Drosophila melanogaster: one gene and its partners. The protein of the gene in region 2 interacts with the protein of the main gene of each other region in a pairwise test. Each region holds a gene or a part of one and is shown on either strand. Other genes may lie near its edges.

The links.
Region 1: the proteins of CG15167 (region 2) and NFAT interact in a two-hybrid assay, tested with the Drosophila melanogaster proteins (one large-scale study listed by BioGRID).
Region 3: the proteins of CG15167 (region 2) and CG15631 interact in a two-hybrid assay, tested with the Drosophila melanogaster proteins (one large-scale study listed by BioGRID).

Annotation. Positions count from the first base shown.
Region 1 is NC_004354.4:13,643,607-13,648,232, reverse strand, and holds the start of NFAT (NFAT nuclear factor), read right to left. Parts: upstream 3,055-4,626; 5' UTR 2,676-3,054; coding exon 2,429-2,675; intron 1-2,428.
Region 2 is NT_033779.5:18,738,459-18,741,355, forward strand, and holds CG15167 (uncharacterized protein), read left to right. Parts: upstream 1-1,899; 5' UTR 1,900-1,951; coding exon 1,952-2,302; 3' UTR 2,303-2,349; downstream 2,350-2,897. Other genes in the region: CG42752 (uncharacterized protein), read right to left, coding at 1,060-1,548.
Region 3 is NT_033779.5:4,731,859-4,736,363, reverse strand, and holds CG15631 (uncharacterized protein), read left to right. Parts: upstream 1-1,905; 5' UTR 1,906-1,937; coding exon 1,938-2,058; intron 2,059-2,109; coding exon 2,110-3,857; 3' UTR 3,858-3,951; downstream 3,952-4,505. Other genes in the region: fipi (factor of interpulse interval), read left to right, coding at 24-515, 597-817.

The DNA of each region.
Region 1 (4,626 bases), on a different chromosome or scaffold from region 2:
AAAACGATACAAAAAACAAAGGAAATGAGAAAAAGGAAAAAAAGGATTTTTGGCTCAACTGCCTAAGCTTAATATGCATTTACAGATAAAATAGCTCCTTTCGCTTCCAATGGGAAAACATAGATAAATGCAAACAATCAAATATAAAAAAGTGTCAAATGCAGTAAATGATGACAAATAAAAGGCGTAATTCTAAAAAGAAACCTTCCATAAAAATAAGCTCACAACTATTAAATTACTTTGTCAAATTCGAACGCCCAATTCCCAACGAAATCCATTTAATTCTGTAGAAATCTCCCATGAAACTATGTTCCGTTCCTTAATTCCGGTAAAATCGTTAAACAATTACGAGCTAATTTATGAGATAAGAATCGAGCAAACAATAGCGCCTTTGATAGCAGCAACGAAAGCAAACAAACTTTGATCTTCAATTACGAATATCCCTCGGTGACGTGCGTTGCGCTCCCAAAAAAAACAAATTCGGAAAAAGATGGAAATTATGTAGACATACATGGGTGGTACACAAATTAGGAAGGTGAGAAAATCTGTTCGACTCTTGGCTCTTGTCAAGAGGGCATAGGTACAAAAAAAAATAAATAAATAAATAAATAACACCCACGCGATCCGCACCCTTTTGGCCTAACCTTGGCTGGCAATCAAACAAAGAGGCAAACATTTATTGTTGGGCTTGCGGAACGCGCCCAACTACCTGCACACAAAAGCGGGAACCCGCAGAACGGATCCCGCCAAATGGGCTTTACCTGGCACGGCTGCAGATAAGGCAGATACACGGGTTGGGATCCGTGGCGGGGTGGGTGGTGGTAGATGATACGCGGCGATATGCGCCCATTGTTTCCAAGCAGCTAAACTGTCGTCTTATTACAGAGCAGATACAGATACAGATGCAGATACAGATGCAGATACAGATATATATGCAGATACAGATACAGATACAGATGCAGATACAGATACATATGCAGATATAGATACTAAAGATACTGCGGTTAAATGGATACGTTAACGATATGACAATCGGAGCTAGCCTAAAGCCACTTTCGTCTATCTAGGATGATACACCAGAAGCAGACTCAGGCTTTGCACTCAATTGGCTGACAAAACGAATAAGGTGACTTTAATTCAATTCACAGCGGAGATCAGGGCGAGGTTGGTGTAAAGAATCAACCTGAATAGTTAAACACAGATGTTGGTTGTCTCGGGAATTTGCAATTTCTATAATTAAACGCAGACTCCTCCGGACGAAATAACAGCTTCGTAGAGGTGAATCCAAAACAGATTGTCAATAAAAACAATAAATTAAGTGTATTGAACCCAGCCCACTGTGACCCACTGTGCTCCACCCCCCTAACACCCCCCCTCCCGGTACGCTATTGTACATCCTTCACTACGGTGAAAGATGAGCCCCTACCGGTCAAGTGGATCGAAAACCATGTCATAGCGGAAATGAAAACCTAAGAAGTCGGGCCAATTTGTTCAATTGAAAGTAGATGGTTGTAGGTACTTTAAAATGTTCCACATCTTTAATAGAAATATTCAATTACTTTTCCATGCATATTTTGTTTAGATCGCTCAACAATCACTTCTTCTCCATGCTGATCTCATTTTTGTTACCATCTCCCCACAATCCAATTAGCGGACTGGTCAAGTGGTTCGGGCGTTTGATTGAAATGCCTGCGTCTTGGCTATAGTTTTACTGTTTTGCCAGTAATCTTATCGCTCGGCCAAACTTGGCAACTGGCGAAAAGCGTTAAACAAGAACCGACAACCGACCAAGAAGTAAAACCGATATGAAGGAGCATGGAATTGAATCACCGGAGACAACTGGCGCCTCTCGCGTAATCGGAGATTGGGGACCTCGACATTTTGTGCTTGAATGTTTGGATCTTTTGCTGGGCTGGCTGGCTAGGAAATATCGGCCTGGAACACCCATCCATATCGATTATGACATGTTATCAGAGAGCGGAGGCGCAACAAGAGATTTGTTTTTCTTTTTTGATTCGCCTAAACAACTGTGGCGTGTTTGCCGATAAGCCAGCCCATTAGCATTTGATGTTGGGATAGTACAATTAAGGCGATGTCTGGATTTCGAATGTATGTTTGTACATACATACAAATACAAATTGGTGAATAAAAAACGTTTAACTCTTGTTGTCAGCTGGCATTCCAGCGAGGTCTAACTATCGAAAAACCGTAGCAAGATATTAGAAACTCATAATTTTCGAGAAACGAAGGGGTATATATCTTTATGGGGCACCTATAAAATTGATACAATAACAGAATGTTGGGCACTAATCAAACATTCATGAGTACTCAGAGTGTAAGTACAAGATTTGAACGAACTTTTCTTATGCAAATATCTTAAGGATACTTTCTATTGTATTTCATACTACATCTCGTAACACATTCTTACCGAAATTACTTTTGTAATGATGCTGATAGGCTTGGAAATTTGTGTTGTTATTGCCGCCATTGTTGCTATTATTGTGATGGGCATAGTGATGGCCACTATTGTTGCCATTGTTGTTGTTGTTGGTGTGGCCACCCCCATTATTATTATTATTACTATTATTGTTGTTATTATGGCTCAGATTATGCATTTTAGATGGAATCCGATAACCGGACTCATAATGTTTATACTGATTGTAGGTGAATCGCATTTTGATTGATTTTCACTGGACTCTTTAAATAACTTTAATTAACTCTTATGGCTATTTGTGGTGCAATTAATTTATTTTCGATTAGTGATTGTTCTTTCCACTCTTTCTACTCTCTCCTCGAGTTTCTCGTTCTCTTTTTGGGATAAGTGCTTTTAGTATATTTTATAATTATGTTTACAGGCATCGATTTTGTTGTCTTCCCTCTGACTTGTATTGTTTTTGTTGATTTGGTAAATATTGTTGGCACATTTAATTGTTTCTTTGTGTTTTAAATTAATATTTGTAATTTTGGATTGACTTTGTACATTTGTTTTGTGTGTTGTTGCTTTGTTTGTTGGTAAATTTGCTCTGCAGTTGCTTTAATTGTTTGTATCTACCAGCTATTTAAATAAAAAAAGAAATACAACTTAGTATAATGCATGAGACGCGTGAAAATCGACAGAAAAACGCCCAAACGTAACGTTTTTAAGCATTTTGCAACGCTTAGAAAACGCTCGTAAAACGCACTCGAAACGCTTCGAAAACAGGTTGAAAAATTCGTTGTTTCGTTTTGTTTTGTTTCGGCACTTCGCTTATTTATTTATTCATATGGCCGTTTGGTTTTTTTTTTTTTCTTTTTTGGATTTTTGTTTTGTTTTTGTATTTCGTTTTTACAGCTCGATGCGAAAAACCGAATCCGACTGAGCGATGTAAAAATGTTGCTTTTATACTTTTATACACACATCATCTTTAATAGCCGGCGCGGTTCAAAGTCCAAGCGACAAGAGCAGGCAGAAAATAAGAAGATCGCATTGGTTTAATGATCATTTTGTTGCATATTGATAATGATTATGATAATCGGGGGAGAAGTTGCATTGGGCGGGGGACCTTAAGTGCATTCTTTTTCCCTTTCCCCAAACTGGTTTCGTTGTCCAAGGCGCCTTGAAAAAGTTGAACTCGTTTCTGTTTTCCATTTTTCATCTTTTTTTTTTTTTTGATCCTTCAATAGCTTCCTGGTATCTGTCTTATTATTATTTTGTTTTTGCTACATGATCTTCGTACCCGTTTACAGTTAGAGTTCGGAATCGGAAAACGAGTTCCACACGATCTCGAGATTCTTCCCTGTTCTACTTGTTTGGATGCCCTTTTACTTTTCGGAGAGGAATGTAAAGCCCTTTTCAGTGGCAAGTTCCACAAGGTCTCAAAGAACTACACATTACACGCTTCAATACCATAATGATTTAGGCACTCAGAACTACAATTTATGCTGAGAATAATAAAATTACAGAAATCTTCAACTATGAATGCCGTGATAAGAACTAGTCTCAAAAGTATTGAATACCATTTTACATATTCTATACCGTAATTTACCGACTTTAACAACCGCTTTTCGCTCAGTGCATTTCAGATTTTTTTTTTTTGTACACGAATTTAACGACTAATCGAGGTGACACAGATAAGTGTGTTAGCACCGACGACCCCGCCCCTTCTTCTGTAAGCCCCACCACACCACCGCCTCCTTTGGGCATTGCCTTCAATGGCCTGTGGTTTCGGCATGGATTGGTCTGTACTCTGGTATTATTTTTTTTCGTTTTTTGACAATCAAATGCCAAGGCAAGTTCTTGGCTTGATTAAATGCTCATTGAAATTGTACGGTGTATTTATCAGCAATCGGTTTTTTTTTTTTAATATATATATGTGTGTATGTGCTGTGTCGTGTGTAATGTGTGTAGCGACTATGTAGCCGTTGGTTTTGTGAAAAATCATGATCTTGTTTCATTGACCCACATTGAACGTGTAATAAACGAGCCTCGAAGTGAGCAGAACAAACTAAGCTGATCTTATCTGATCTGCGCGCAGCTCAGATTATTATTCGCTTTTAATTTACGATCAGGAAGCGTTGGGAAATCTGTGAGGATGCTCAGAAATTTCACGGATTAAGGAAACTAGTCTGGAAATTCGAGTTGCCATT
Region 2 (2,897 bases):
CGCATTAGAAACGATTTTTTAATTATTATTTTCAGACGCCTACACGCAAAACCGAAACCCGATGGCTTCGAGTGGATGCTCTGCTCAAATGTCAGGCTTATTAATACAACAGCACCAACAGATCTCTTCAAGCTTCAAGTGCTGGGGATTTGTGGCCGGGGTACGAGATGCGAGATGTGAGATCCGAGATCGAGTTGAGGACGCTGTGCATCTTTATGTGGGAGTGCGGGCTCCATTGATGACACGTCATTTGCTGGCATAGACATCTTCGTCAAATGTGTTAAGTTGCGCTAAGAGGGAAAATGAAAACAGGTCTTCCAGTTCAACGGCAAGAGTGTCAGTAAAATGTCATGGAAAGCCACTTAGCTGGGAGTTTTTGATTTTCGATTTTTTTTCTGTACATTTTCTGAATCGGATTCGCAGCGTCCCCACATCCGCTTTTGGAGGAAAATAAATGCACGTGAAACAAGCAATCCGAAAAGGTAGCTAGCTATCAAACATTTGTCAATTTTCCTGCCCGGAGGTTGGTATTTGGTATTTGGTTTTTGGTGCGATTGGTTCTAGCTCGCGGGCAATGCTCAATTACGGTTTTGATTTAAATCAGTCTACTGACCCCAAAAGTTCAGCTACGGAAATTGCAAATTTAATAATTGACTGGCTCAGAAAACTGTAAAACCCAAACCAGGGGGCTTATTAATGCGATAACCTTGGCTGATTTAATTTCTGCCGTCTATTCGCCGGGCCTGTGATTATCCAGCGAACAAGAAAACCAAACCAAGCCAAAACAAAAACAAAAACAAAAAAAAAATACAAACAGCGACTTCCATAACAACAAAAGGAAAATCAAAACTTGCACAATTTCGACACTAAACGGCGATGTCTGGGCCACTCTTCGAGTGCCTCCGAGCTGCCAGTTAGTCGCATATTTAATTAAGAGATTGAGTGCCGCAAATAGTGTTGAACAATGGCCAGCACGAGTCGCATCCACACTGCGAGAAATCACTGCGACTAAAGAGAATCGGGAATTGTGCTGGCATAGTCTTAGCTATATATTGTCCATTAACAATTGACGAAATATTTTAAGTTAAAGAAGTCGGAATATTTTGCGAACAAGGCTTTAGTTGCCTCGGTTTCCTCTTCCGGTTCCGGTTTTTGATTCTTGAACCTCAGAAAGCAGTCCTCGTATATATCTCCCAGAAACTTGGCGCCCTTAGGAACTCTATCCTTAATATTAAATTTCTCTTTGTTCGGATTGAAGCATAACTCGTAGGCTGAAAAAGTGACTCGTTGGTTAAAGGGTTCTGGAATGCAAAACCTCAGAAGGTAGGGCTTTATCCGGTTTAAATCTTTCCGCTTGCCATCCATCACTCCAAATGCTTGTTTGCCCCCGTGGGTGAATACTATGTATCCGGTTATATGGTTTTTGTGGCAATATTGAAGAATTCGACGCGGAAATTGGTTCCTTGACATTATGTTGTACAACTTAAACTCGGTCCTAAGTTGAATATCCTCATTGAACATCCAATCGTAGGACCCTAATAATGTCATTTCTTGTTTAGTTTTGCTGAAAGATATGCAAATAACTTAGGGCTATAATTTTGGATTGTACTGAGTGTTAAGCTAAATTTACTGGCGTGTAGGTTTGTTTTTAAACTAAATTGATTAAACTGATGACTTACGCAAAGCATAATTATTAATTGACATTTTGTTTTAAAATACGTTTCCTGATAGTTTATAAAAATACTTTTTACGAAAATCTATATAAATATAAAAGTATAGCATTTTTAAAGATTCAGAATTTGTTTTAAATGCTTACCTTTGGATGGATCAGTGATGTTTACTCCACGCAAATTTTTCGATTATATATCATCAGCAGAGTAACTTAGGAAATCTGGATCATTTATTTTCAAAAGCCGTGAAAACTCACATACTCAAATTTCCATTCCCAAAAATGTCGCTGGAACTGGTACTCCAACCGCAGCCAGAGATCTACCTATTAGCGTATGAAATGAGTGTGCCCGAAGATTCCGATGAGGCCCTGCTTTCAGTTGTGGCCCACAAAGCCGCAGAACTTAAGGTGTGTGGCTACATCGCGCATACGCACTGTGGCCGCAAAGTGGGCGGCGAACTGGAGGGCAGCTCTGCTGGCCTGCAGATGATGGTCGAGTGGATGCAGGCTAGGAGCCAGGGGAATCATCTCGGGGACGGGGAGAAGATCAAAAGCCAGATGAAGGAGCCACGATTCTCGAAGTGGAAGCTGCAATCAGGGGCCCCCAAATACGATGTTTTCTTCTGTTGCTGAGTGCTGACGAGAGGAGTTGATTAAAAATCGCAAATTGCATTGGCCCCAGAATATTGTTTCGAGTGCATTTTCATCTCATAAACCATAACAATCAGTGTCGGCCGCTGCTGCTGCTGCTGCTGCTGCTGTTGCTGATGTTGCCGCTGCTGCAGTTGGGCCATTGAACAATAGCCCGGCTGACTCGAAGCTGACTTTTCAAAGTCAAAAACGCGATTGTATCATCAGTATTTTTCGGGGCGCGCTCCCTGCCTCTGCCTTTGCCTCTGCCCCTGATTTTTCGTTTTTTTTTTGTCTAACCATTTTCAGATTTTTCCGCTCGGCGCTGGCAGATAAAGTAGAGGAGCCCGAGTTGCGGCGAAAAACAATCGAATCAATTCATTTTTCTAGGGCGTACTGTGCCACTTGAACGTTGAACTGCAGACGCCCCAATGCTGACTACCGCTGAGGTTTCGCTTTTGGGCTTTCCATCTCCTCCGGAGTTGCCATTGTCTGCTATCAAGACGGCAGCACGGTCTTGATCGTGCCCCGGCACTAGTCATTTTAATTTTTCAAGATTTTCCGAGCTCGGCGCTGCGCGCTGTGCTGTGCTTCTGCG
Region 3 (4,505 bases), about 14 Mb from region 2:
CCTTGATATTTTCCCCTGTGCAGACAAGCCCATTTGGTCCAAGACTCCATTTGTTAGTCTAAAGTACGCCTACATAAACGGAACTGCGACTCTTATGTGCGAGGCACTGGCGGAACCTCCAGCGAATTTTACATGGTATCGCAAACACAACAAGCTGCACAGCAACAACAGACTGTACACGATCCAGTCGGACAGCTACTGGTCGAGTCTGACCATCCATGTGCTGAACACCAGCGCCTTCGATAACTACAGGTGTCGCGCCAGGAACGATCTGGGCACCATCGAGAGGACCACGCGACTGGAGCAGGGCGAGAAGCCTCCGTCACCGGCCAACTTCCAGCTGCGTGGCTTCAATTCAAACACCTTCGATGTGGTACTGAGTGCTCCACGAGGTCCTCCCGACAGTCCCATGGGGGTCAATGGATTCCGCATCGAGTACATGACCGAAATGGAGTTCAAGACGGATGCGGGCAAGTGGACCAATGCCAGGCGGAAGGATTATGCTTTCGAGGAGGGTGAGTTAAGCTTTAAAATATAGATAAAAGCTATCTCTTGCTACATTCGATATGTAAACTCATGGATTCTATAAATTTTAGGGGCTACCTTCCTTCTGACGAACTTAGAGCCAGATACCGTTTACCTGGTGCGGGCCGCATCACGGAATCTGGCCGGATTCAGTGACTTCACCAAGGTGGAGAAGTACAAGACACTTTCGCTGGAGCCCCGAGTCTCTTCGGGAGTCAAGGAGACCAGAAATATGTGCGTGGAACTGGGTGTGATGACACTAATGGTCCTGATGCGGCCGTTCCTGGGATGAATCTGAATCTGCAGGCGGATGAAGGATGACAGGTGATGCACCTAGCGGAACCGGAAACCAGGACCTTAAACCCCATGTGCTTTGTATAGCTATAAGGCGTGTCCACACGGCGACACTTTTCTGTCTGATTTGCTCGGTCTAAGTAATTTGGTTTACTCTTAAGTTCAGTGCGTTAATGTAACCTTAAAGAATGTTAAGTTTAGTAAGAATTTCTATTACGCTTTCAGTGCTTCGATTTGAATGATATTAGTGGATCACTTATAGGATATTTATATGTATTTAAACAAATCCTCATAGCAGTTAGACATAATCAATGGTTTGCTGGCCTTGGCTCCCCAAAATTATGCAAAACTAAAGCTTTGCTCAACATTCCAGTATATATTTTAACGTGAATTGGAAGTTTTCCCTGCAACTTTGCATCTCGTTGCCAAATCTTTAAGATATAATCAGACAGTTGCCAAAACTAAAAAAGTACATTAGTTTAGTATATACAAACAAATGCCTTCCGTCATTCGATATAACTAACAATCTTTTCAACTAAACTACATAAATATATAAAGTTTTGGAATACCATTAAACGCATCAAACAATTAATATAAATATCAAGGAGCTTAACGACAGCATTTAAAAGTTTTATATGTCACATAATTCTTTTTAATAGTCAAAGGCCAATAAAAACAATTCCACGTGTAAATTTCCAGGGCTAAAAAATACAGAATAAAATATAGATGTAAAAATAAGTTTAAACACTTTGCCACAATACAAATATTATGCAAACGAGAGAAAAACAAACACATATTTTACAAAAGTTATTTATATTCAATAAAATTAAATGTATTTCAGCTAAAGTGGTGTAAAATCTAAACCATAATACCTAGCCAAAGATTTAATATTTTCCAACTTTCGTTTGCCAATTGTGTGTGAGCCATAATAAAAGTTATGAATATCAAACCAGAACCGTTTGTGCTTCGATTTATTGATGTATAAATCAGTAAGTAAATAGAATATAAATATTTTAGTAAAAAAAATGCCTATTAGTTGGCGTAGCTTTTAGTGTTAATTTCTAATATTCGGCTCAAAAATTATATACAAAAAGTACAAAGCATAAAAATGTTGCAAGATGGAAAAACGAGCTCATTATTTTAGTCAGAACTCGAACCAGCCGCTAAATGCAGACTTTAATTTAGAAGATCAAATTATGAGGAATTCACAAAAAATATATAGGTTTAGCTCAGATCCGGGTGAGTAAAGCTTGCTAATAATGAATACATAAAATTAAAATTTTTATTTAGAATACAATAGAGTATATCAGCGGTATATGGCAACCCTCATCCGTGTGCAAAATTCCATGCATAGAAGATTTCAATCCAGGACCACTCTAAAATTGCAGGGCTCACATAGCCGCCTCTCAGCTGGCGGATTCTGTACGAAATTCAATAAATCCGGAAAGGAGAAAAAAAATAAACACAACCAAAGCCACGACCAGCAAAATGATACCTGTAAGCCTTCTTGCTCGAAGCCAACTGATTGCGCCACAAATGATGAACCTTCCTGCCGGGGCAATAAAAGTGCATCCGATAAAAGCCTGAAAATCACCCGCTGTTCCATACCGGAACCCAATAAGTCCCCACGCAGCGATGGACACGAGAACCAGCGTCAGAGCTGTGTGTCCTTTGAAGAGCCCGCGGCCAAGGATATTCCCACATTTGATCTGCACTTCCGGGACACCTCATGTACGGTGTCCCATGATTCCAGCCTGTCCTCCATCAACGTTTGCTATAGCCAAGAGCAACAGAGGGATATTACAAAATCTTGTCCCGCTCAAACGCCGAAAGAGCCAGCCCCTCAACGGATGAAGGAGTCGTCCAGGAATCAAACAGCTTCACGATTTTGCATGAGACCGTTGATTGTGGTGCCCACAGGTGGAGGAATTAAACAATTAAAGAAGGATCAATCTGAGAATTCCAAAATAGTTAGCACAGATCACTCCAAGTCGAAGTCTGCACACCACACGAATAGTTCTCGAAAATCCACAAAGAAGCAAGCAAAGAGTCACCGCCTTATTAAGTCTCACAGCTCTAAAGATTCTTTAGCAAATCGTGGTCAGCCTACAGTGGAAATTGAAGAAACTTTTCCAAATTCAATCTGCACTTCCGATACCCACGAATCCTGTGACTGCAAGAGCGAAGACCAATTTTGCTGTTACTATATACCAGAGGAGCCCCATTGCTCGCAGAATCCACCGCCATGTTCCAACTGCCCGGCTATATGCGACTTATCCAACCAATTGGAGGAGATGAATCGACGTTTGGAGGGCCTTCACAGCCAGGAACTCTGCGATATCCGCACGCAGGTGAATAGCCTCAATGCCAATGTTCAGCATTTGGCCAAAGAGTGCATTCAGAAAATGGATGGCGCCAAAAGGCTGGACAAGAAGACCTCGAGCACCTGTCAGTTCTGTCATGGGCAGTGTTTGAAAATACTTGATAGCTTCTATAGGCAACTGCTGGACTCACTTTGGGATCGTTCCCTGACAGACATAGTAATATCCATATTTCTGCGAGCAGACAATGTCTATCACGTAAATGTGCGGGATCTGAGCTCGGACTGTTCCCTTGGTTGTTACCTGGTCACTGATGCGGCCATAGAGGAGGCCATCGAGTTGGGAGTTTTTCAGAACATACTCACATTTAGTGTAATTGATGTGCGGAATACCATCAAGTCGAAGAACTGCGACTTGGGCATCGTCTTTGAATACCATCATTCAAAGCGGCAGACCGGTGGTTGCGATTCTCCACTTCGTGGCTCCTGCATGGTGGGCAAGGAATATATCGGCAGGGTTCTCGGACTTCCTTTGGAGCAGCTGAAATACCTGTACTCCGTTCCGCGATCCTATACCAAAATCACTGAGCACGACACTAGGAGTGTAACTGGAAGTCAGTTACACTCAGTTTCCACTCAAACGACTTTGATGGATATGCAGACAGAAATGAAGATAAGATATAAGAAAAGTGCCCGTACAAAACTACCATCAGTTTGAAAGATATCAGTTTTAATAATATATAGCAAAAGTTATAGTTAAGCCAACTTACAACGTATTTCTAAAATTTTGTAATAAAAGACCTTATAATTTTAAAAGCCAGCATAGATCAAAGGAAATTCTGATTAGTTTCAATAAAGCTAACCGTACAGGTTGCACTGCCATTTGCACAACCGACGGACCGCATGGCAAATGGTTCATTTGTTCAACGGGCGCGGTTTGTCAATCAGCCACATCAACTGGGGCTCAACTAAGGACCCGCATATGCGCTTTTGGCCGGAATGCCTTTTTGGGGGGGCTTTTTGGGGCAAGGAATAGGAGCACTGCGTTGACAGCCGCATAAATCAGTTGAATGCCAAACGTCGGATTCGGATGCAGATGCGGATGCTGTTGCGTATGCGGATATGCATTGCGACTGGGCGCCATATTGTGCGTGGTGACTTTTATTGCCCGACCGCGCGTTAAATATTTTTCTGTCTACACACATGGACATGGATGCTCCGCTCATCATTGACATTTACCATTGGCCATCGTCATTCGCATCACAATGAGCAGCAATGAGCGTGGCCGTTATTTGGGTGCGGTTCAAAACAATCAGCCCGGCTATTTAATTTCCAAATGAGAGGAGCATTATTCGGCACAGCATGA